6 linked regions of the Nothobranchius furzeri genome follow. The protein of the gene in region 5 purifies or fractionates together with the protein of the main gene of each other region. This does not show direct contact. Links are inferred from orthologs where the notes say so. Each region holds a gene or a part of one and is shown on either strand. Other genes may lie near its edges.

The links.
Region 1: the proteins of prmt1 (region 5) and alyref purify together in Homo sapiens (affinity purification with mass spectrometry; 3 studies listed by BioGRID and IntAct, with this or other methods). This does not show direct contact. The link is inferred for Nothobranchius furzeri from reciprocal best matches to the Homo sapiens genes PRMT1 and ALYREF.
Region 2: the proteins of prmt1 (region 5) and kpna2 fractionate together in Homo sapiens (co-fractionation; 3 studies listed by BioGRID, with this or other methods). This does not show direct contact. The link is inferred for Nothobranchius furzeri from reciprocal best matches to the Homo sapiens genes PRMT1 and KPNA2.
Region 3: the proteins of prmt1 (region 5) and chtopa purify together in Homo sapiens (affinity purification with western blotting; 7 studies listed by BioGRID and IntAct, with this or other methods). This does not show direct contact. The link is inferred for Nothobranchius furzeri from reciprocal best matches to the Homo sapiens genes PRMT1 and CHTOP.
Region 4: the proteins of prmt1 (region 5) and hnrnpub purify together in Homo sapiens (affinity purification with mass spectrometry; 4 studies listed by BioGRID and IntAct, with this or other methods). This does not show direct contact. The link is inferred for Nothobranchius furzeri from reciprocal best matches to the Homo sapiens genes PRMT1 and HNRNPU.
Region 6: the proteins of prmt1 (region 5) and dhx9 purify together in Homo sapiens (affinity purification with mass spectrometry; 3 studies listed by BioGRID and IntAct, with this or other methods). This does not show direct contact. The link is inferred for Nothobranchius furzeri from reciprocal best matches to the Homo sapiens genes PRMT1 and DHX9.

Annotation. Positions count from the first base shown.
Region 1 is NC_091752.1:50,607,744-50,611,693, reverse strand, and holds the start of alyref (THO complex subunit 4), read right to left. Parts: upstream 2,801-3,950; 5' UTR 2,674-2,800; coding exon 2,434-2,673; intron 2,170-2,433; exon of another isoform or gene 1,937-2,169; coding exon of another isoform or gene 1,730-1,936; intron 474-1,729; coding exon 315-473; intron 230-314; coding exon 82-229; intron 1-81. UniProt on the Homo sapiens protein: Functions as an mRNA export adapter; component of the transcription/export (TREX) complex which is thought to couple mRNA transcription, processing and nuclear export, and specifically associates with spliced mRNA and not with unspliced pre-mRNA.
Region 2 is NC_091752.1:67,643,898-67,648,137, forward strand, and holds the start of kpna2 (importin subunit alpha-1), read right to left. Parts: upstream 2,801-4,240; 5' UTR 2,717-2,800; intron 2,491-2,716; 5' UTR 2,447-2,490; coding exon 2,390-2,446; intron 2,305-2,389; coding exon 2,164-2,304; intron 1,994-2,163; coding exon 1,902-1,993; intron 1,817-1,901; coding exon 1,548-1,816; intron 1,477-1,547; coding exon 1,382-1,476; intron 1,228-1,381; coding exon 964-1,227; intron 850-963; coding exon 616-849; intron 530-615; coding exon 347-529; intron 262-346; coding exon 112-261; intron 40-111; coding exon 1-39. Other genes in the region: nucleosome-remodeling factor subunit BPTF, read right to left, coding at 4,109-4,148.
Region 3 is NC_091751.1:23,238,926-23,242,582, forward strand, and holds the end of chtopa (chromatin target of PRMT1a), read right to left. Parts: intron 1,627-3,657; coding exon 1,449-1,626; intron 1,378-1,448; coding exon 1,225-1,377; intron 1,139-1,224; coding exon 936-1,138; 3' UTR 501-935; downstream 1-500. UniProt on the Homo sapiens protein: Plays an important role in the ligand-dependent activation of estrogen receptor target genes. May play a role in the silencing of fetal globin genes.
Region 4 is NC_091742.1:29,998,752-30,002,889, forward strand, and holds the start of hnrnpub (heterogeneous nuclear ribonucleoprotein Ub), read right to left. Parts: upstream 2,801-4,138; 5' UTR 2,662-2,800; coding exon 2,235-2,661; intron 397-2,234; coding exon 282-396; intron 1-281. UniProt on the Homo sapiens protein: DNA- and RNA-binding protein involved in several cellular processes such as nuclear chromatin organization, telomere-length regulation, transcription, mRNA alternative splicing and stability, Xist-mediated transcriptional silencing and mitotic cell progression.
Region 5 is NC_091758.1:13,908,465-13,911,964, forward strand, and holds part of prmt1 (protein arginine N-methyltransferase 1), read right to left. Parts: intron 2,393-3,500; coding exon 2,297-2,392; intron 2,161-2,296; coding exon 2,005-2,160; intron 1,933-2,004; coding exon 1,869-1,932; intron 1,786-1,868; coding exon 1,643-1,785; intron 1,042-1,642; coding exon 954-1,041; intron 1-953. UniProt on the Homo sapiens protein: Arginine methyltransferase that methylates (mono and asymmetric dimethylation) the guanidino nitrogens of arginyl residues present in proteins such as ESR1, histone H2, H3 and H4, FMR1, ILF3, HNRNPA1, HNRNPD, NFATC2IP, SUPT5H, TAF15, EWS, HABP4, SERBP1, RBM15, FOXO1, CHTOP, MAP3K5/ASK1, MICU1 and NPRL2.
Region 6 is NC_091751.1:34,779,871-34,783,799, forward strand, and holds the start of dhx9 (ATP-dependent RNA helicase A), read right to left. Parts: upstream 2,801-3,929; 5' UTR 2,646-2,800; intron 1,876-2,645; 5' UTR 1,829-1,875; coding exon 1,718-1,828; intron 1,636-1,717; coding exon 1,495-1,635; intron 1-1,494. UniProt on the Homo sapiens protein: Multifunctional ATP-dependent nucleic acid helicase that unwinds DNA and RNA in a 3' to 5' direction and that plays important roles in many processes, such as DNA replication, transcriptional activation, post-transcriptional RNA regulation, mRNA translation and RNA-mediated gene silencing.

The sequences.
Region 1 (3,950 bases), on a different chromosome or scaffold from region 5:
AAAGGGGGTTGAACACTCAAGAAAGTTTGAATTATTTAGTCATGTCAAACCAGAAAAATGTAAACAAGGTCTGAAGCGTACCATCCAGTGGGATGCCGTTGTACTGTTTCATGGCCTTTAGAGCGTCAGCTCTCCTTTCAAAGTGGACATCTGCTGTTCCTAAGCTTCTTCCCGACCGGTCGTAATGAACTGCAGCTTTCTTCAGAGTTCCGAATTCCGCAAAAAGTTCCTTGAAAAAGTACATCCAAGATTAGTCTAAGACAGCAACAAGCCATAAAACACAACCAACCAGTGAAGCGCGGATTTTGGAGTACCTGAATGTCTGCATCGGAAACACCGAAGTCGAGATTGGAGACGAGGAGCTTCCCTCCAGTTTCCACACCAGCTCCCCCGCCACCCCCAGCAGCACCATTGAAGCCACTGAAGCCGTTGTCGAACATGTCGTGCTGCCACTTGTCTGGGAGCTGTTTAGGCTGCAACAGATGAAAGAGAACGCACCTGCTGACTTCAGGATCCCCTTGCCTCTGCCCATCACTGAGTCCACACGGCTGGCTGTTGGGGCAAGCAGGGGGCTCCACTTCCAACATGGTGCTCAGCTCCCTTTAGAGGGGGGGGGGTCCCCAGTATTCCCTGCCCACCCCGTCACAACGAGCAAGTGCATCAGCTCAAAGGGACGTGCACACAAATACTCAAAAGCAAGGGGATTTGTAGTAGTCTCGCTTCGATTCAAATTTTGAACTTTTTTAAACGTTAACACACCAATGTTGGGCCATCTTAAATCGGAATGTGTACAAACATCACAATAAAGTCCATACTGATTTAAGTTAGTAAAAACATGCTCAAACTAGGGATGCAACGATACCACTTTTTTCCAAACCGATCTTAGTACTCGCCGATACCAATACAGATACTTCTACCACACAAAAAAAAAAAAAATGCAATGATTTGGAATGCAGATTTTACTTTCTTCTCTGCTTTCAACAGGAAAAGACTGTGAGGTAGATAAAAAGTAAAATATATGAATGGAAATCATCACAAAACTAAAATATTAGGTGAACAGAAATGACAAGTTACAGTGAAGCCATTTTCAAGCAACTGCATTGGTATCGGTTCCTGGTATTGGTTAACTTTCACCGATACTGGTATTGGTATCGGTGCCGATACCAGTATCGTATCGGTGCATCCCTAGTTCAAACTCACTGGTTCCCAAAGTTAGGACAGGACACCAATGTTGAGATTATCAAATTTAAAAATAATTGACATATATGAAGAGAAAACATCTAAACAGACCAACTGACAAGCGTTTAGTCTTGGTGAAAGTGGATGGAGTCATCTTCCTGTCCTAATGTAATTGTCTTATTGGCTATTTGTACGTGTCCGTCATGAATAATGAAGGTTTTTAATCACAGATCTTGTAAATCAGAAGTTAAAAGATCTGGGAGCCACTTGTTTCAATCACTCTAATCAACTGTCTAAAGAAAAATGGTCCCATTAAAGCCCACTTAAAATAAAAATGTATTCTTTAGATCCAAGTTTGATGTAGTAAATGGATTAAAAACAAAACCATAAAAACAAAACTCAACAGTCCTGTTCTGGGTTTCTAGTGAAATAAACCCTAGAATAGACTAACGAGCCTTTCCAGAAACCTAAGTATTACCATCACAGATATTTCTTAAACCCAAACCCACAGACTTGATGCTAAACCTGTAAAACTCCTCAGACTAGCTACCAGAGATGCCCATTGTTCTCGCCATCTGCGCCTCCCTCCAGAAAAGCCAGCTCCTCGGGACACTCGGGGACTCCTGTTCGATGCAGCGGCGTCTCCAGCGCTGGTACTTTGTGTCCTGGACCTCAGAACAGTTCTCAGTAGGGGAAGAGTCCGTGTGCTGGATGAGGAGTGAAAATGGCCAGATCTCCCCTCTGCGTGAGCGTCCATTTTGAAACCACGCCATTTTGACTGGGGCTTTGTTTGGCTTCGCTACCAACTCGATCACACTTTAAAAGACGAAGAACCGGTTTTGTTTGGGCACTAACAGAGGAGTAAAAGTCCGCTTTTCCATCCACAAGTAACAGGCAAACTGGTAGAAAAAGCCACCAGAGGGCTTGAGAACCCACTCCCCGAACAAAAGGCCGCCTGGTCGCTGCGCTGGCGGGAACTTGAGCACATATCCCGCTCCGACAAGCAGTGAAAACACACTTTCGAGTGATACTCTTGACGAAGTGGGTTTCTTTCACCACCGTGGCCAGGATACCTCTCACTGAGCACTCACTGACGACTAGCTTCACAATGCGGGGCTGGATTCAAAATGGCGCTGAGGGCCTCCACTCCTTCCGTAGGCTGTTGAAGCTCGACGTGCGTTACACATTTGGGTTGCGGGAGAAGGGACACAATATGAAAACATTTCTCTGCTTATTCCTCTAACATTCTCATACCCTGCTGTAAGGCGTAGGTCTGCCTCTAGCGCGACTCAGGTTCTGTCGATTCCTCATGGGGCCGGATCCACCGCCTCGGCCTCCAAAGCCTCCGCCGCCGCCTCCGAGTCGCCCAGCGCCTCCACCCCGGCCGCTGCCTGTGCCTCCGCGGCCACGGCCTCTTCCTCCCCGGCCTCCACCTCTCTGCTGCCTGCTCTGTTTGATAATGTCGTCTAAAGACATATCCATCTTATCGGTCATTTTGCTGCCCCAATAACGCTAAACTTTGAACAAATTAAGAATGTTACACCCTAGACACGGTCGGTCCCTCTCCCTGTCCCTTTCAAGGCTCAACGGTGTCTGATTCTTGTAGCAGCTGCTAAACACAAGTAGTAGAACACGACGTTCTCTACGTAAGCCTGACGTGAGTACGTGAACGTGATCCCCTCTACTGTCGACGATGAGGCGGAACCGGGCGGAGCATGTATCTAAAAGAAACCTTGACAGGAAAATGTGCGAATTGTGCAAAAGTTCTACACAGATGTGGTAAAATACAGAACAAATAAATAAATATTTTTTTGACAAATATGACATATAACATTTGATCGAAACTAAAACTGTAAACTGAAGAAATAACCGGGAAAAACTAAACCACATCAATCATCAATTCTTAAAAGAAACTTTCACAAAGTCAAGGATTTTAAAATAATATAGTTAAGTGTTTAAAGAGCAAGACACTCCCAGATCAACTTTTTTCTGATAAACTATATAAATGCGTATCTAACCGTGCTGCAGACACGTGTAGTTTTGCACTTTTGTGCATTTAAGTTAAAATTTAAATTTTCTGCCTAAAACTGTGAGTGTTGTGCCGTTGTCAGGTAAAAACTCTGCACTGCATTTGAATTTAAATCTGCCATCGTTATTGGCAAAGGGGTACCCTAGAACGTTAGCTGGTAGCATATGATGTCACAATGTCGTTGTGTGTGTGTGTATTTGTTAGCGGGCCCGCCCTCTTGGTCTGCTAGGCAACAGAATTTGTTGCATTTTTCAAACAGGAAGTGGGAGCGGAGTAATACTCTGGTAGGGGGTGACTTGCTCTTTAAGCAGTTACACAGAACTGGTGATGGCTACTGACCCCTTAGATTTCTAAACTTTTGCTTTTTTTTTTTTTTTTTTTTGCACAACTAACCAGTTTTGGGTTGCTTTTAGCAGCCCCTAGTGTTCTGTTAGTAAAACCAAAAGTGAAACTGTGCATTCACCTTTTTAAACACCTTAATCCATAATAATGTCTCCCCATCCTTCCTTAATTTCTACAGGAGCAGCTCATCACTAAATTGACCAAACCAGCAGTGTTTATGATCTAAAACATGCAGGAAGCAGACTGCAGCACCAGGCATGTCAGCTCCACAAGTCCAACTCTGAAGTTGCAAGTGCGACATTCTGGCCATAGAGGGTGGTCGGGGTCTGAGTGACATTTCATTAACCCTGTACAGGGTTGTTTTAGCACACACTGGCTCAAGAAAATTTTAAAATATGAA
Region 2 (4,240 bases), on a different chromosome or scaffold from region 5:
CTCTGTAGCTTCAGGAGCCACACACAGCACCTCCTCCTCCTAAAACAAAAACACACGAGTCCATGAGACAAACAAACATTTAACTGGTCACACCTTCACTGCCACACTCACCTCTTCAGAGAAATACTTCTCAATCAGGTTGAGGGCAGCTTTGTAGATCATCTCGTTCTCGTGAGACTGCAGCGCCTCGATCTTGTCCAGTCCGCCGCATTCTTCGATCATCAGACTCAGCTTGTCGGCCTCTCCGATTTTATCCCCAGCCTGACGAATCCGACAGACAAGTTTCAGGACCGTGAAGCCACACACGAGAAATCAGCTGATCCAGTCCATTCACACATGTGCTCACCATGAAAATATTAGTTATTGCGTCCAAGATGACGAGGACCGTTTTGCTGTCCTTGGAGGAGAGCAGATTCAGAAGAGGCTCGAGAACATTGACCTGCACCAGATACACCACCTGCTGAACAGTGCCCCCACTGGTGAAGTTTGTAACTGCCCACACCGCTTCTTTTTGAGTTTTGTAGTCACCCTGGAGAAGCAAAAATAAAAATATATTTCTAAACTGTTAGAAGAAAAATAAAGTTTACTCAACAATCTTGTGACACGACGACATACCTGAACGAGCATTTCCACCATGTATGGAACGAGGCCTGCGTCGATGACCTCCTGGATCTGCGTGTCCTTCCCAGCTGTGATGTTGGACAGAGTCCAGGCTGCCTCCTTCTGGATGTTGGGCTTCTTGTGGCGCAGCAGGTGAGGGAACATGGTCAGCGCCTTGGCGTCCAGCACCGCTTGAGTCTGCTCGTCTGTGCCGGTGACGATGTTTCCGATGGCACGCAGCGCCGGAGTCTGGGGGAGGATGATCCATTAACAACCGGGTCCAAGTTGTGTCTCAGTGCAAGGACACGAGGTTTAAGACGGCTGAAGCCCACAGAAACCATACTTGCCAGAAAAGTTACTTACAACTATAGACAGCGCCTCAAAGCCGAGCAGATTCACCAGGCGAGGAATCAGCCCCGTCTGGACCACCACCTCGATACGGTCGTTGGAGCCGTCAGTCAGGTAGGACACGGCCCAGCATGCATCAGCAAGCACCTCCAGGTCATTGTGATGCAGGAGACGAATGAGAGCAGGTAGGAGCTGTTCGATTGCACTCATCGGAGGAGAAGGATTCTTGTTACGGCACAGGTTTGAAATAGTCCAAGTCACATTCCTCAGGTAGCCAGGCTACAGAGAACAGAAGAGCAGGTGTCAGACTAAAGGGGTGAATTATTTTATTGGGTTAGGACACCACCTAGTGGCGGGAGGGATTAACGATTACAGGAATGCGACCATTTCCCAAATGGAGTTCTTGGAAAATGTAAAATCCGAGAAGACTTACACTAAAGACAGTCCAGTCAGGAACTTCCAGCAGCCTGAGTAAAGGTGCCACAGCACCGTGCTTAATTACCATATCTCTGAGAGCAGATCCATCACCTATACAAATAAAAAAATTTAAGTTATTTAGGTTAAAAAAAAACTTGCCTAAAGAATAACTCTGCACTTACCTGCAATGTTTCCAAGAGCCCAGACTGCCTGCTCGCTGATGTGCTGGTGGGGGGATAGGACCAGGTTAATGAAGGCAGGAATGGCCCCACCCTCCACAACAGCAGCCGTCTGATCCGATGTGCCAGAGGCGATGTTCGTCAGAGCCCAGGACGCCTCAAACTGGATAGGAGGACAGTCCGTCAGGCCGAGGAAGGCCACGAACTTGGATATCAGACCAACGCTGATCATCTGATCAATGGGAGGGCGCTTGTCTCGTGACAGAAGTTTCCTGATGACAGAACATCACGGTTGAAGTTACTGCATCAATACTGGTTTACTTTGGAATTTGCAACGTTAAAAAAAAAGACTGTTACCGTGCAGCCTGGGTGGCTTGAAGCTGAGACTCCAGATTACCGCTGTTCACCCCAGTAACGATCTCCTCCACGGTCCATTGTCTTAAATTCTGCTAATGGGGCAAAAGTGGGTCATAATTTAGTGGAAAAAGTTAAGAAACAGGGCTCAAAATCAAAGTACGAGGCTCGGGGTTTGCAACTTTCACCAGATACTGGGACTATTCACCCCCCTACAGCTTAAGATGCAGACCACGTCCTTAACGAATGACACCTGAAGTCTCACCTGGCCGTTCTGAGTTCTTTCCTGGAGAGGAGAAGTGGCCTCTTCCGGTTCTGTGCACACGTTCCTCCTTTTGAAGATCTGGTCGTCTTTCTTGGCTTTTCGAAGCTCGACGTTCACCTCAGCCCTCCTGCGCCGAAGCTCCTGCGTCAGATTCAAACGAATTCAAGTTCAACACAAGTCTGCGCATTCTACCCCGATCACTGACGCTGGGTGCAGCGAGTCTTACGTTAACGTCTTTGCCTTTGTTCTTGAATTTGTTCAGACGTGCGACGTTCTCGGACATTTTCAAGCTAGTGGACTTGAGTAGATGCAAAGTTGGTTCAATTCCTGCGGAAACACGTTTATTTCACACGAAGGTTAATCGATTTGCTCCGAGCTGCCTCGTGACACCATGAGCCGTCAGAAACCGCCGAGCGCTTTACTTCCTGTTTGAAATTAGTTCATTGCTAGTTAATTAAAATAGTGAAATCACGGCTTGGACAGACGAAACAGAAGGGGAAGAAATCGTAAACACGTTTCAAACTTTCCGAATGAGCAGCAAGACCTCACTCACCTGGACTGGAACAGTTGTGATATGGAGAAAATACCGCACAGACCTTTAAATTCCTACTAGACTCGCCTCTGATTGGCCCGTTCGAGCCCAAACGTCGAGCCCTGAGCGTTCATTGGACTGTTCAAAAATTTCATAACACGCACCGGAAATGTCGTTACGTTACGAGAATATCGCGAGACTTATATAACAGCGCTTGTTGGGTTAGATTGTAGTGTTAAAAATAAATCTTTTCACTCTTGTAGGCTAGAAAATAAATGTCCAACACACCAAAGTTAGCGAAAGCCAAAAACTAAATCTAATTTAAAACGGAGCAGCAAACTTTTACTAAAGTCGAGTGAGGTTTTTTTTTAATATTTAAAGAGCAAGTAACCTCTAAATTAACTTTTTTTGCTGATAAACTGTATAAATGAGTGTCTAATAGTGTTTTAAATGTGTGTATTCATTTTTTATAATTTTTTTCTCAGAATTATGAGAAACCAAGTCAGGATTCTGAGATTAAAGTCAGAATCGGTTTCTGTTTGAGACAGCAGGGGAAAATAATGTATAAATAATTCAGATTACATTTAGGCACACACAATTAAGCAAATCTGACACATTTATAGTAATTATGTAAATATATATTGTAATTTTGAGATTTTTTAGTCAGGGATGGAGATTCCTATGGACGAGCTGAGAGTGATGCAGTGTAGTTCAGATATTTTTCATTTGTAACACAAAAAAATCAAGTCAAGAACTGATGAATTTTTTATTTCATTTTTATACAAAAAGGGCAGGAACCTTCAAATACATAATTTTCATACTTCTCAGTCACTACTGCAAATTCACTTACAATAGCCTTTTACCATATTTTCAGTAGGATATATAGAAGTTTAACCAAGATGACTACTGATGTCCAAATATTTAGTAAACTTTCTTTCATGCCACCTCAGACTAAAAAGATAAGTGGAAATGAGTGGCGGGGAAGATAGTCGTCTGAATTCAGACGAATCTCATGGTACATGATGCTCAGTAAAGCTCAGCCATTGTACATCAGTCTTGAAGTTTCTGTTATGAGCTGACATGAAGACCACAAGAAAGGCCTGAGGATTTTTTTTACAAAAAAAAAAAAGGGTTAAAAGAAAATTACACGGAATCGAGAGCTCAGCTCCAGAAGTAAACTTTATCTGAAGTGCCTCCGCTGTCCTCGCACCACCTCCTCCCAAGTGCAGAGCTTCTTATGAAGACAGGTCCCGAGACGCCCGCCTTGCAGCTGAAAACGTGCAGAGGGCAGCTCTGTCTGAAAAACGCCGTGAAAGCAGCAGTGCTGGTTGACTCGGTCGCCCGGCAGCGTGTTGTAGAGTCGGTCTGGAAAAGCCGTTTTCTTGGCGAGTGCATTTTCTACACAGCATTTTTCTAAGAGACCGAAGAAGCCTGAAGTTTGTTGTTATGAGACCTACAGGATGTGGAGAAAGGGGAAGAAATGAAAGCTCCTCACACTTTTATTGCTGTTCTTGCTAGGAATAATCAGACAGAATGGGTGAATGG
Region 3 (3,657 bases), on a different chromosome or scaffold from region 5:
TAAACCCTAGAAATGGTTGTGGGTGAAAATCCCAGTAACTGAGCAGATTGTGAAATACTCAGACCGACCCGTCTGGCACCAAAAACCATGCCACGCTCAGAATTGCTTAAACCACTTTTCTTTCCTATTCTGACCTTCAGTTAAGAGTTCAGGAGATTATCTTGACCAGGACCACACCCCTAAATGCACTGAAGCAACTGCCATGGGATTGGTTGATTAGATAATTGCATTAAGTTAAACAGGTGTTCCTAATAATCCTTTAGGTATGTGCGCACACACACATGGTTCACAGGATGTAGTATAGAGAAGTTTGTAGGTCTTAGGTTTGAACGTCCAACCTTCTAACTGGTGACGTTTTCCCAGTGAGACACAGCCATGGAAACCATGTCCCTGTGGGCACCAATCGCAGAACAAAAGCTAAGATCACACCAGGACATCTGCTTTTCTACATGCTCCAGAACACCTACAGGCCTTAAATGTTTGACATGAATCAGAAAATATCTCATTCATCATTTTATTTCCTTAACACAACTTGGGAAATAATTTTAAAACAAACATCTTGTCAGCTTCACGGAATACAAACAACCCAAAGCCTGAGCACTTCTTTCCCTGTCAAATATAAGAGAAAATGACTCGTCTTAAAATTCTTGTAAAATTATCATTTTAAAAAACGTTTCCACTGCAAGTTTAAGATGAGCCAAAGAAACTCTGGAGGTTTGAGGAAAAACTAAGAAAAACTAAACAGTTTACACCAAACACCTGTTTGACTAAAACTTCATACAGGAAGTCCGTGGACATCAGGGTCAAAGTCCCCTTGAGTTTATTCATCAGCTGATTGGCTCTTCAGCAGCAGGTGGATGCACGGCTAAACAACAGGGTGCAGCAACACCACTTGACGCTACGCCCCAGTCTTCAGCTCTGGTCTCGCTGGGCCGTCACTCCATGCTGTCGGGATCTGCCTGGGCCATGTAGGCATCCAGTTCTGCATCCAAGTGTCCCTTGGTCTTTGACATGTACGCATCCAACTGATTGTCCAGTTGTTCCCTTGTAACGGTGGGCCGGCCAAGTCCTCTGCCCCGCCCACGGCCGCGGCCCCCACGACCAGCAAATCCCCCACGTCCACGAAGTCCACCACGGCCTGAAGACAGAACATCATCAGTGAGACAGTGAAAAAAAAAAAGACACGAGTCATCAAACGATTGTACTAATAAATACAAACTCTACCCCGGCCTCTGGGCATTCCACCTCGACCTCCTCCTCGAGACAGAACTCCTCCTCTTCCTGCCACTCCTCCACGATGCCGACCTCCTCTACGCATGGGGAAGCGTCCGATGCCCCCCCGACCTCTCATAGGTCCACCTGTAGGCATTCGCCTGGCTGTTTAACACAATGTGATTGCTCAGCTGAGAGGAAACACCCCTACCATCTCCACGCTGACGGACACCTACCCCTCAGAGAAGACAGACCCCCACGAATGATCCCTCCTCTCAAACCCCCTCTGAGGCCTCCTCTGGTCATCCCCCGCATGCCTCCTCTTCCTCCAGGAGGTCCACCCCGCATCAGAGGCCCAATGGGCCGGCCCAGCCGGGCCTGGATGTTGCCTTTCCCCAGACGTTGCTTTAGGCTCTGGTGGTTCAGAAGGATCGGTCACAGCAACAAATCAGGAACACAAATAAAGCGAAGCAAGAGTAGGTCCAGCTTGTTATCCCAGCTTTCCATCAGACGCGCGAGCGTCACAAAATGTCCACAAAGCGTAGTACGTAGCACTTAGCTTCTATTATATTTACCTGTAAAACCTCTGTGACTGAGGTAAACAGTAAGTACACCACAGACCTGCTAGGATACCGTTACCATCTTTCTCCATGCTTGTTATCACGTGAACCGCTGAAATCATGCTTGATCTAGCGTTTTCCTGTGATTTTGTAACGTTGTGGGTCCAGCTGTGACACATTCACTGCCGCTTCATGTCAGAAAATCTCCCGGTGAGACGATATGCACCGCTGAGCTCGTGAGGAACCGCGTCACTTATGCATCCAGTGGAAAGCTCAGGTTAAGCCGGGTGTACACTGTGCGACTTTTTCACTTTTTTGAGCCGATTTTCCACTCGTGCGAGAATCCACGAGATCGGGGCGAGTTTTGCGCTGAGCGTCGTGTACAGGGGGCTACGAGAGGCGATTAACACCACGTGACCAGCTACCGATCAGCAATCGTGAGCTCGCACAGACTTCTGGCGTGTTTAATATTTTGCTCGTCCCTCGTGAGGGTATCGCACTGTTGAAGCGGCGCTGCGAGCAGCTGCGACCCAAAAAGTACCAGAACCGCTCACGGCACATGCATGCATCAACACCGCTCGCCCGCTATTTCCCTAATAACACACGTTGTTCGTTTTTATTTTCTACACTTTTTTTACTCACAAAGGTTGTCAAGAAAGCGTGTTTGTCGTGTTCATGTCAAATTAAACTGATCACAAAACACAGATTTACTTTCTTTATTTTGTTTTCCTCATCCAACCCCCATAAATCCCTGTGTGTCCCCCTGCAGCACTCCCGAAGGACAACAGGCAAAACAAGACAAAAAAGTCTGACGTGTTGTGTAAAAACTGCTATTTTTAGCACATTTTTAGGGCCGACGTGTTGCTACCAGACGTACAGCGTGAGCAGTCAGATCGCATCCGAGAACTGGGTCGTGCAGTGTGAGCGCACGACTCGTGAGATCTGCTCTGTGAGGAAGTCGTACAGTTTGAGCTGAAGCTGAGTGCTACGAGTGAAAAAGTCGCACAGTGTCCGCCCGGCTTAAGGGTACAACAAGACTATTTGGACATCTCACCCCTGATTGGCTAACAGCAACACAACTCTACCACTAACCTTGTTTGATTTGCATCATTGATGTTTTACCTCCATAAATGAATGAGTTCTACTGTATAGAGTAGCAGCTAATGCTAACAGTTAGCTTCTATTAGCCAAGGCAAGCTCTAGTCTCTCCTGAATGCTAAACCAACAACTGCCTTCCCCATCTTGAGCCAAGATGGCCGAGTCCATGAATGTTAACTTACTGTGAGGTAGATCTGACTGGCTTTGCTAACCTGAGAATTTCCTCGTCTGTTTTCTATCGGCTAATGCAGGAAAAAGGGGTAGAAGACTATTCACATATTCAGCCTGCATGTGAAACTCAGAGTGACCAATCATTTAAAAAAATAACACATAAAAATGGTTTCTCAGTGAACTTGTTCTTTAAACCTTTTATCAGCTATAAAGCAGCTCGTTTCGATTTGATCGTTGTCTCACTCCCATTTCTTTTTTGTTGCACATTGAAGCTCTACTTGGGACCTTGTTAATGACCAACCAAACAAACACGACGTTTGGCCATTTTCAAATGGTCTTAAACTTTTGATCAGGACTGTACTTCCCAAACAGCAAATGCATCTTCTGTCAGGCTTGGGTTTGGTTTCAATGATAATTCACTGATAAAACCAGAACAGAATCTTTCTGACTTGAGAACCCATCAGACCTTTGCTAACTTGTGCCCTTTTCCCTACTGAACACAGCTTTAAGCCTGATTTATGCTTCTCCGTCTGCGTCAGTGCGGAGACACGCAACGCCATTATCCGTCCTTGCGTAGGGATCCGGCAGGCACGCAAGTCCGTACGGAGTCGAGCCC
Region 4 (4,138 bases), on a different chromosome or scaffold from region 5:
GAACAGATATGAGATTGATAGATGCACTTCTGCTACAGAATGCAGTCGTTAAAGACACAATGTGAGTGTAAAAAGGTAAATGGTAAGGCTTTAGCTATTCAGGGATGACCCTCAAACACATGTGTGAAAGGTTATATCATAAATATATGATAGAATACTTCAAACGAGGCTTTACCTCTTGCTAGTTATGTGCATTGGCACTTAAAGCCAATACAGTTCAACAAAGCTTGGATGGCGCTTCAGGGATGCTGAAGGCCACCTCGGCTCTGTCCCATCCTTACCAGCTGTATTTGTTCTCTTCAATAAATTCAAAGTAGCCCCTTCCATGTTCCTCCCGGCGTCTCTTAACACCCTTCTTATTCTTCTGATCAGCATTCGTGTCTTTGTCCGCATCTCCTTTGAAAATAGAACAAAGATATAGAATGAGGTGCTCCTTTTTGAGAGAGAGAGAGGTCGGACTGGCAGTGGGGTTCTGGCCCACGAAGCCCGTTCATTATTTACATTGCGTCTAGCATGATTACCAAGAGGAAACACCTCATAGTTACATTTAAAACAGTACAATCATATTACATGACTTGTAACAACTGGTAAGACCAGGTAGTAATTACAGCATGAACTGGCCCAAATGAACAGCAGCAGCAGAGCTTGATGGGGCTGGAAAAGGGGTCGTGAAAGGGTAAGAACCCTTCAGATACAAGTCCTCTAGTCCTAGATGAGGGTCTACTGCATCAGGGGGAGTTAACCATGCAGGGAAACCTACCTAAAGCCCAATGACACCCCCCGCTAAAGAAAAGGATGATATGTAAATAAAAATGTATGTATACCCTTTAATATCACGCTTGTATTTCAAATCGAAAACACACGATGGACGTATCAGGAAAGTTGTAGGCCACTCCGTTCTTCTGCAAAGCGCTGGGTTAGCAAGTTCAGAGGTTCCCAAGCTCATAACCCAAACTAACACCCAAATACAGCTTCAGGTCTTTTACATCAGCCTGCTGAGGCTCTTCCTTCAAACATCTGCACCTCATAACCAGACCTGATGCTAGTGTTGGCTTTTGATCCGGCTAAACACGATTCTGGACTTCACTCGTCTACACTAGATAGAATCTTTAATAATTTAATCAATCACATACAGTCCAAGACTGGGACAATTTAGTTCTTATGGGCAACTCAAAGTGGTCCAGCCCAAAAACACGCAGACATCTGGACTAACAGTTTGAAGCTGACATGCACTGACCTGCGGAAGGAAACCATGGAAACCCACACATGCACGCGGAGAACAAGCTAACTCCATGCAGAAAGGCTGGAGCTGGGATGTGAACCTTGCTAAAAGCTAAAAGTGCTACCAAATGGAGTTTGTGAAACCGTTAATCATTCAGTAAGACTAAAGTGTTATTGATAACGGGACCACATCAGAACCAGTCATATGAAGCAAGGTGACAGACTCTGGTGCCTTGCTGATCTCTGGACCAGATCAGAAGCGGTCCTTGTAGAAAACTTCATCAGTAATGTGTGCCACTCCTAGTTGATCAGAGGTAGAAAATGTAACGCATGGGGGATTTAGACCACGTTTGGACCCACTCATTAAAAAAATCTAAAAACTAAAATTGTCTTCAGTAATTTGTGTTTTTGCGACTGGAGCACGTAAGAACTGATCCTGTTCTGAAAACAGAACACGTTTTAGTTTTTATATGTATTAAAGAATTACTTTAGCCCCCTCCCGCCTCGTCTACGTGCTGTAGTTCTGAACTAGAGCTGATCAAACGTAGTCCAGATGAAGCCTTGGCGAGAGGAAAACCGACTAAAGCGTGATGGGAACCTCTGAAATGGCTAACACGGCTAGCTAGCGCAGACCGATACAAAGGAAAAACGATGCTAACTAGCGTGCTACTATCAAGCGACACAAGAGAAAAATAACAAATTAATTTCTTAAGAATTATTTATAAGCATGTTCCTTAGTTAGTCCGTGTCAATTAACCTACTATCCGTTGGTAAACTGGGTTAGAGAATCGTACATTTAAATTATTGTAACCAAGGCGTTGGCTAATGCTAACTAGCCTGAATCACGCTGACTGACTCAACATGGACGCCATGATAAGCGGTAACAACCGGCTACCCCTCCCTTACGGAAAAGCATTCAAATCTACGCTACAGTTCCCACCTCCCCCCACAAAATGACACCCAGCCACGGTTCATCCAACAAATCATTTTCATAGCGTATTGTTTCTTCTCACCCTCAGTAGCGTGATCGCCGGGCTCACCATCTTCTGTGTCAATTTTCTCCATGTCGTCTACATCCTCCTTTAGCATGGGATCCATCTCGTCCTCCTCGTCACCTTCCTCTTCCCCCTCACCCATCTCCTCGTCCACCGACACACCGTTCCCGTCGCCGTCATTCGCCGGCTCTTCTCCCTCGTTGGCCTCCATGCTCTCCTCTACCGGGCCTTCTTCTTCCTCCCCCATACCCTCCTGGATGTCCGCGGCCTGCTCGTCCGTCGCCACATCCTGAGCGGCCGAGTCTCCAGCGAGGGCCTCCTCGTCCAGCGCGGCCTGCAAGCGGTCCATCAGATCGGCCTTCAGCCCCTTGTCTGATAGGTTTCGTTTCTTGAGCTCGTCTTTTAGCTCGTTTACTTTAAGCTTCTTCACGTTAATCGTGCTCATTGTGGACGTTTAACGACAAACTACTAAAATACGTCGACAAATAAACAATAACGTGCACTTTGTTAGTAGATGTTGCTCGAAACGACGCCAAACGTTACGCGCGATCCAACCTTTCACCAACGGAGAGGGAGCTGATGAGCCAGCCTCGGCGGCGGGAGGGGGAGCAGAGCGCTAACCACTACCGTAATGATCCTAAAAGCAGCACAGTCGAGCCAGAGCCACCACGGTATTAAAACTGGAACAAGAACAGGGCAGTGCAGAGATGAGAGACGGGTGCCCCAAGTTTAAACGGGGCACCTAAAACAAGACTGTCAAACCCCTTACATCATTTACAGATGACCAGGTAGACTAATAACAACTCATTATCAATAATCTATCTAATCACACCATCTGCTTCAAGCTGTGTTTTGTTGCCTCTACCTTTATTGCGCCTGTTGCTTGAACAAAGGGCAAAACATTCAGGCTCTAGATGTGGAAAGCTGGTAGGGACATAACCCAAAGAGACACCCCCCAAAGCCATTCAGCTGTAATTGCAGCAAAAGATGAGTCCACAAAGTATTTATGCAGGGGGCTGAATACAAATGCACAACACACTTTCATATTTTTATTTGCTTAAAATTTTTGAAAACCATGTTTCATTTCACACTTATGTGCTTTTTTATGTTGATCTAGCAAAGAAAATATCAATAAAAATATTGAAGTTTGTGGTCAAAATATGTAGAAGTTCAGAGGGTATGAATACCTTTGCAAGGCACCACGTATGTATGTATGTATGTATGTATGTATGTATGTATGTATGTATGTATGTATGTATGTATGTATGTACGTACGTACGTACGTATGTATGTATGTATGTATGTATGTATGTATGTATGTATGTACGCATGTATGTATGTATGTATGTATGTATGTACGTATGTATGTATGTACGCATGTATGTTTGTATGTATGTATGTACGTATGTATGTATGTATGTATGTATGTATGTATGTACGCACGTACGTATGTATGTTTGTATGTATGTATGTACGTATGTATGTATGTATGTTTGTATGTATGTATGTATGTACGCATGTATGTATGTATGTATGTACGTATGTATGTATGTACGCATGTATGTTTGTATGTATGTATGTACGTATGTATGTATGTACGCATGTATGTATGTATGTATGTATGTATGTATGTATGTATGTATGTATGTATGTATGTATGTATGTATGTATGTATGTATGTATGTATGCATGTATGTATGCATGCATGCATGCATGTATGTATGTATGTATGTATGTATGTATGTATGCATGTATGTATGTATGTACGCATGTATGTATGTATGCATGTATGTATGTATGTATGTATGTATGTATGTATGTATGTATGCATGCATGCATGCATGTATGTATGTATGTATGTACAGACGCAAACTGCCTTTCAACCAGTGATGGGTCGGCAAATGTATCTAGCTCATAGAGCG
Region 5 (3,500 bases):
TCCCACTAGCTTAACAAGCTAATGTGCTCATCTAAAAATAGCCCCCTTTCACAACCAACTGAATGTGTACGGTTCCGCTTACGCCAATGTCATACACAAAAAATGCTGAACACCAACTAGAAATTCACGAAAACTTTACAGAAATAAAATAATCTAGTTTAATGGGTCTTTGGTAATTTAAGACCTTTGGAAACTTTATTTAAGGATTATTTGTCATTAAGGATTTTCAAGGCCTTAAATTTGGAAAAGTAAATTTAAGACTTTTTAAGGACCCGCGGACACCCTGTATAAAAGTATTTGTAAAAACTAGTAAAATCAGGGATGTGGTTTTTAAGTGAAAACAAAAACCTGAAAAGGGCCGGGGGTGTGGGGGTCGCCTTAGGCGAGGGTGAAGGGGCAAAGCCCCCGGTAGCTGGAGCCTTTTCACCCATCTTAAGTGTTTCTTGGCTCTCTGGGGCGTTTTACTCACTGTACACATTCACGCATGCACAGTGCTGACTTCCTGTCGGTTTCTCTATGGGCACCGCCATTTTAAACGTCATCACGCATGCGCCTAATGACCAGTGCCTGACCCTTCTGTTTTCTTGCAAACAGTCAGGGAACATGCAGGCAGTCTCGTTTTGAATTGGTTGTGGGCGGGGCCGGAAATCCCATTTCATTTAGGAGGGGAAAGTAAACGGTTTCATTTCAGAGTAATCTCTGAGTGGGACATGAAAAAAATGGCTGTCTCCTGCAACTAGCAGGGTGGGCCTCCATCATTAGCAAGTTCACTGAGAGACCAACCAATCAGAGGTGAGATGTCAGAGTATCAGGAATTAATTGAGAAAGACTATTTGGAAAACATCCCTATCAACTAATTTGCCAGAGATCGCCCCATAATGACTGGGTGATCTGAGCGTCCTTTGCTTTAATGGCACAACTCAAAATAAGGTCAGCAGTCCCCAGGTACTCACAGTGGATCTTGTAATCCTTGTACTGTCGGTCTTCTATGGCAGTGACATACAGAGTAGCTCTGTCTGGGAAAATGAGTCCATCTGGTTTCTGTTGGAGGGACAGGAGTAAAGAGGCATTAAAACCGGGAGGGACACTCTAGTTTTTGGTTTCAGTTTAGTGACCCTACAGTGCCCAGATACCTGGAGTCACCAAGGCAACCACAGCTAAACAAACTGCAGCACTTTAAGCCGATTAGCTGATCCTTAATGAGAAGCTGTCCGAATCAATCTGAACACACAACTCCACTGGTTCCACTTCGATCAACAAACACCAGGTCTTAAAACAGCTGATTTACAGCCCGCCAGTGATTGGTTCAACGTGGAGGCATTAAAACCCCCAGCATCAAGCCACCACTGTCTATTCACTCGGACCCATCAATGTTTAAGATCGAACGTTTACATTCCAGATCTAACCAGAGTTGGACTGAACAAGAGGCGGAGAATGTTTCTGGGACAAATGAGAGAAATTATCTGAGGATCAAGAAAGTCCTCTCGACCAAAATCTGTTTTCAGATCAGTTGATTTGTTAAAAAGTGAAGGTGTGAACTCAAGGTATGTAAAAGAAAACCCGCCAAGAGTAGGTGGAGTGTCTAATCTCAGGGTTAGACTCTGGGATTGAGTTTAACACGTTGGCTCTAACAAACACGCACCAGCCATTTGTCCCTGGCATAGATGACTGTATTGAGCATGGACTCATAGAACAGACAGTAGCCCATCCACTCGGAGATGATGATGTCCACGCCGTCCACTGGAAGCTCCACCTCCTCCACCTTCCCTTTGATGATGGTCACAACTGGAGAGAAAAGAAGACCTACTTCAATCATCCACCTTCCCGTAAGCCAGAAGAGCAGCACCACATGTGAACCATCTCCTCACCATCATCCAGGTTGTTGGCCTTCACTATCTTCACAGCATAGTCGGAGATGCTGCTGCACTCGATCTATTCAAGCAAAGACAGGTGAGCTGCTCATGCTCCCAGTGACAGATACACATGCTGCCAGACAACACCTACCCCAATAACCTTTTTGGCCCCCGCTTTGGCAGCAAACATGCACAGGATGCCCGTCCCGCTGCCCACGTCCAGAACCACCTTGTCCTTAAAAAGGTGTTTGTTGTGGAACATGGAGTTGCGATAGGTCAAAGTGCGAACTTCATCTTTCAGCATCTCCTACAGCAACGCGAAAGGAAAGGTGCAACAACAGAGAGAAACTGAGATCAACACATGATGAGGTCTCAACTATTACATCAAATAGGCTTAATGGTTTTAAATTCAGAAAATGTTTTAGGTACCAAACTAAACGTACCTCGTGGATTCCAAAGTGGGCGTAAGAGTCGAAGTAGTAGTCCTTTGATGTCATGTCTTCAGCTGCAGGCTTGACTGAGCTCTCCCCCTGAGAAACCTCAACAGAGACAAACAATTACTGGATGAAGAAATCTCAGTTTAGAGACAAACTCATTAATAACAAGTACAAACCAAGGAAAAGCTCCGACATAATATGGAGACAACCTTGAGGAATTTGGGCGTTGTTGACCAATCAATGTCTCTTGAAGGCCACTCAAAAACATTGGTCCGGAACCGTTTTCATCACTTAATATCTTTAAACTGCAAAGGTTGGTGTCGAAACACGAACTAGAAATGGTTCTCCATGCCTTTATCTCCTCCCGTCTAGATTACTGTAACACACTCTTCACATGTTTTAACAAAAAGCCCTTGACCGCCTTCAGCTGGTCCAGAACTCTGCAGCGAGGCTCCTAACTGGAGCAAACAGAAGAGCTCACATCACTCCTATTCTGATGTCTCTGCACTGGTTACCTGTTACCTTTAGAGTCATTTTAGAATCCTGACTAGAACTTTCAGGGCTCTACATGGTCAAGCTCCTCCCTATATTACTGAACTGTTAAAGCCTTATGCTCCAACCCGAGCCCTCAGGTCCACCCACCAGAACCTTCTAGAAGTTCCAAAGGCCAGATACAAAAGTCTAGGTGATGCTCCTTCCAGTCTGTTGCACCCCGGCTCTGGAATGATCTTCCTTTATCCTTATGTAGGATTGACAGTCTGGACACTTGTAGTAATCTTTCATTGGTTTTACTTTATTTTTTCTGACGTTAATTTATTTCTGTTTTGAGATCATTATATTTTATTTTGATCTGTGTGAAGATTGTGATTCTGCCTGTGATAAGTGTTATATAAATCAAATTTACTTACAACTAGGGTTGTCAGGGTAACCGGTGTAGCAGTAAACCCCGTAAAAAAGTTGACAATAATAATAACCGTCTTGTTTTTAAAAACTATATTATCTCGGTGGGTTTACCGTGGCTGCGGTGTAGGCGCGGTGACCCTTACCAGCCACCGTATCATCTGCTGAAGTTGCCGGCGGCACATGCACGCTTAGTTGTTTACAACCAAAACTTTCTTGAAGCTAAAGCTGAAATAATGGCCAAAGGAGGAGACGGCAGCACTCAGGACATTTATTATCCCTCAAAGAAGACAAAGTGGGAAGTACGGGC
Region 6 (3,929 bases), on a different chromosome or scaffold from region 5:
GTCTGTGAGAAGATAAAATATCTTGGACACTTTATCACAGCCAATATGAGTGACGATGATGATATTTACAGGCAAGCTATATGTGCAAGCAAACACCACTGCAGGGAAATGTAGCAGTTGTTCCACACCTGTTAAAGTGGCATTATTTAAAGCATACTGCACACCACTATATACTGCACATCTGTGGTCATTCTATAAAAGTCTAGCTTGCACAGGCTACAAGTGGCCTACAACGATGCAATGAGAATCCTCTTCAAAATTCCCAGGGGAGGCAGTGCTAGTTAAACGTTAGTTTCTGAGTGTGCACATTTAAGGCGCTTCTAAGAAATTTAATATTCAAGTTCATGAGACGGCTGAATCTTCCAATAGTATTATAGTTGCATTCACATCCCACTGTGAGCTGCTCTCGTTAGTTGTCTAGGCTGAGAAAGCACTGGTTAAAATGTTGGGGTAGATTTATCTCAACTAGTTAGTTTTGTTGTCCCTTACTCCCGCTGCAGTTATATCCTGTGTTTTATATAGGATCTTATTAGTATTCATGTTAATTGGTATCTTTTTTTTTCTCCCTGTGTTTATCTTGTATGTTATTTTTTTATCATTATGTTATTTTCTTTTAAAATGGACTTCAAGTCTGGCAATAAACTGATATATTACAAATTATAAATGTACAGACTTAAAACTGACAGGCATGCTGAGAAAGGCCGTATAATTAACCCTTTAGGTGCCAAAGTCGAAATATTGTGTTTAACGAGCCACAGCTGCAAATATAATCCCTCATGAAGTTCTTACTTTACACCAAAAGACAGTGTAGTGTAACTTCAAGCTGAGTAACACTTTCTGGTGTTTCTGTTAAAGTGTTCGGAGTACATAGAGTTAACTGTTGACAAAGTTGTCTGGTAATGGCCGACTGATTCTGAAGAGTAATATTCACCCTCGGATAAAGACAATCACTCGTTCTCAGTGAGGAAGAAAGAGACACTGCAGCTGCACAGCAGCAACAGTGTCTGTGTGCTTCATGAGTGTAAACACGCCTCACACACACGATCCAAAGCTTATTTCACTGTTCAGGACATATTTGGGTGCAGAAAGGAACATCGCTAATAGTGACAGATATAGGGGAATGTCAAAGAGCAAAAAAAAAGTCAGGCAGACGCGGTAGATGTGAAAACAGTTAAAGTGTGTTGCATATATAATCGATATGATAATTTCAGTGATCGGAATAAAACAGCATTACTAAAAAGAAGAAAACTTTACTATCCTTTTGAAATCAGTACGAATGTATGATTTTTATGAAGCAAAGAGCAAGTTGCCACATGAGGGCGGAGGTCTGTCTCGGCTAAAAAACAGAAAAAGCACCTTCGGGTCATTTTCAGCCAAATGTTTTGGTGGCCAACATTTTTGGTGCATCCCTCTGGGAAACCCTAAGCCTACATCACCAGTGTGAATGTTTGTAAACACAAAAACCATTCAGAGTAAAAACTAAACAGAACTGACCCCAAGAGCAGGAACCTCAGCTGCACTCATTTGTCCAATTCGGACCAGATAATTGACAAAATCCCGGGCTGCGTTGGTCTGAGCATCCTTCTTGTTGGTGGAGTTCCCCATCCCTGTGTAGTTGAAGCCATCAACACGAACCTGCAGGCACAGAGTGTTTATGGTCAGAACCATAAAGAGGGAGAGAGACGGCATCCTCAGGTGAACCAGGTGGAGGACTCACCTCACACTTAAACTTCTGCCTGATTTTGTTTCCTGCAGCTTGAATATCGTAGCTTGGAGTCAGTTTCTTCTTCCCACACCAGGCATAGAGGAAGTTCTTGATGTCCGCCATGGTGGACTGACAGGAAGGGGACTTTCCTCCTCTGTGGACTCTCTGGTCTTAAGAATTACATAAACATTTTAAAGTACAGATGCATCCTCACTAATACATAAAACATCTGCCTCAGCTGGACAAGACGAGCGAGCAGATCAGAATAAATGTGATTAACGGTGGCAGCTTAAACGATAAAATGATCTTTGTTGAGGAAAAAAAATTCCGAGCAGGAGAATTAGAACCAAACTGCCTTTAGGGGATTAATGAACATCACGTCCGCTGGAGTTTAGCCTGAAACTCTGTGTCCGCTGTTTCCATGGACATCTTTACTTCTATGGTGGTTCTGGATCGTATTCATTCATCCATTGTCTGAACCCGCTTTGTCCACGTAGGATCGCGGGGGTCTGGTGCCCATCTCCAGCGGTCAATGGGCAATCAGGCGGGGCATCTGGATCTTATAATGAAACTCAAACACTTGTTTTGAATCGGACTGTTTTTTCTCGTGCCTTTTAATTAGCTACCGTTAGCAAACATGCCGGAAGGGTTTGATGTAAAATGCAAGCTTTAATTATTGCTATTTACTTATAATAAAGATAACAGCGTGTTACAACGTATATTTATGTCGATGGTTACAACGAGCTACATTCCGTCAAGAGTACAAACTGAGGTAACGTTTTCAGCTTTAACGTGAGTGAACCGATGAGATTAGCGCCTAGCATTAGCTTCTAGCCAACTGTAGACACACCGTTTACGTTTTCACCGACATACCTTCTAACCCAAGTAAGAAACGCAACGAGAATAAAGACAGTTAATATTCAAATTGTTTTTTACTCACATTCGACCAAAACAACCAAAGCAAACGCAAATGCCGGATGAATGGTCTGTGTGACGTTGATATGTGTCCCCTCCAAAATGGCTTTGGTTTAGATTATATACATTTCAATGGTTCCACTACTTATTTAGTGTGGTTCCTTTCCACGTATCCCTGGCTAAAATGTAAAAGAACACACATGAAACAACAAAGCCTCCTGATATATATACTTCATTAAATATCGAGGCTTGTTTTATGCATGGACATGAATACGACATAATACATGGGCGAACAGACCTCGACGTAGCACTCATTTCCGGTGTGTTCCCGAGCAGATCCTGTAACGCCACTGCCACTGGTTGTTCACGAGGAAGCTTCGGGCGATACTTAGGCATAAACGACTAAACGACTGATTAAAAAATGATTACAACAAGGTGGCACAGTTGAGTTAAACTGCAGGGTGGTGTTATTACTTTTCCAACCTTTAGATGTTTTCAATTAAATTAATGAAGGATGAGCCACAGCGCCACGCCACCCGTAGCTTGTCAGATCATACCCATCATACTAAGTTGCACTAAAAAGAACTCAACATATTTTTATGGATTAGAAAAGTCTAGACAATCCAAAAAGAAAATATGCAAATTTAAAAAAATGACACTGTAATAGTAGACCAAAATCAAATAAAGGAGAAAGTTCAACGTTTTTACTCAGACCTATATTGTTCTAATTTCTGTGAGGAGGAATGTAAATCCTTCTTCACTCAGATAAAGAACAATATTAAATCTATTGGAGAGGAAGACAGGAAAAATCTGGAGGATGATTTGAATATTAACGAAGTAGAAAATTACCTGAAAAAAAAAGAAAAATGGGAAATCGCCCGGTATTGATGGATTGACCTCAGAATTTCTTAATTTTTTTTGGGAAGATGTTCAAGAATTGTTATTAAGTACATTTAATGAGTGTATAAATGAAGGATGTCTTACCCCAACAATGAAAACTGGAATAATAACCCTTCTTCCCAAACCAAAAAAAGATACAACAGACTTAGACAACTGGAGGCCAATTACTCTATTGTGCAATGATTATAAATTATTAGCGCTATTAGAAAGACTGAAAACGGTAATTGATAAAATAGTAGATAATAATCAGTCTGCGTTTATAAAAGGAAGAAGCATACATAATAATGTGAGATTAGTACTGGATATACTGGATTATTGGTCTATTTTGGAAACGGACAGCCTCATTTTATTTATAGACTATTTCAAAGCTTTTGATTCTATAGAACATAATTTTTTATTTTCCACCCTA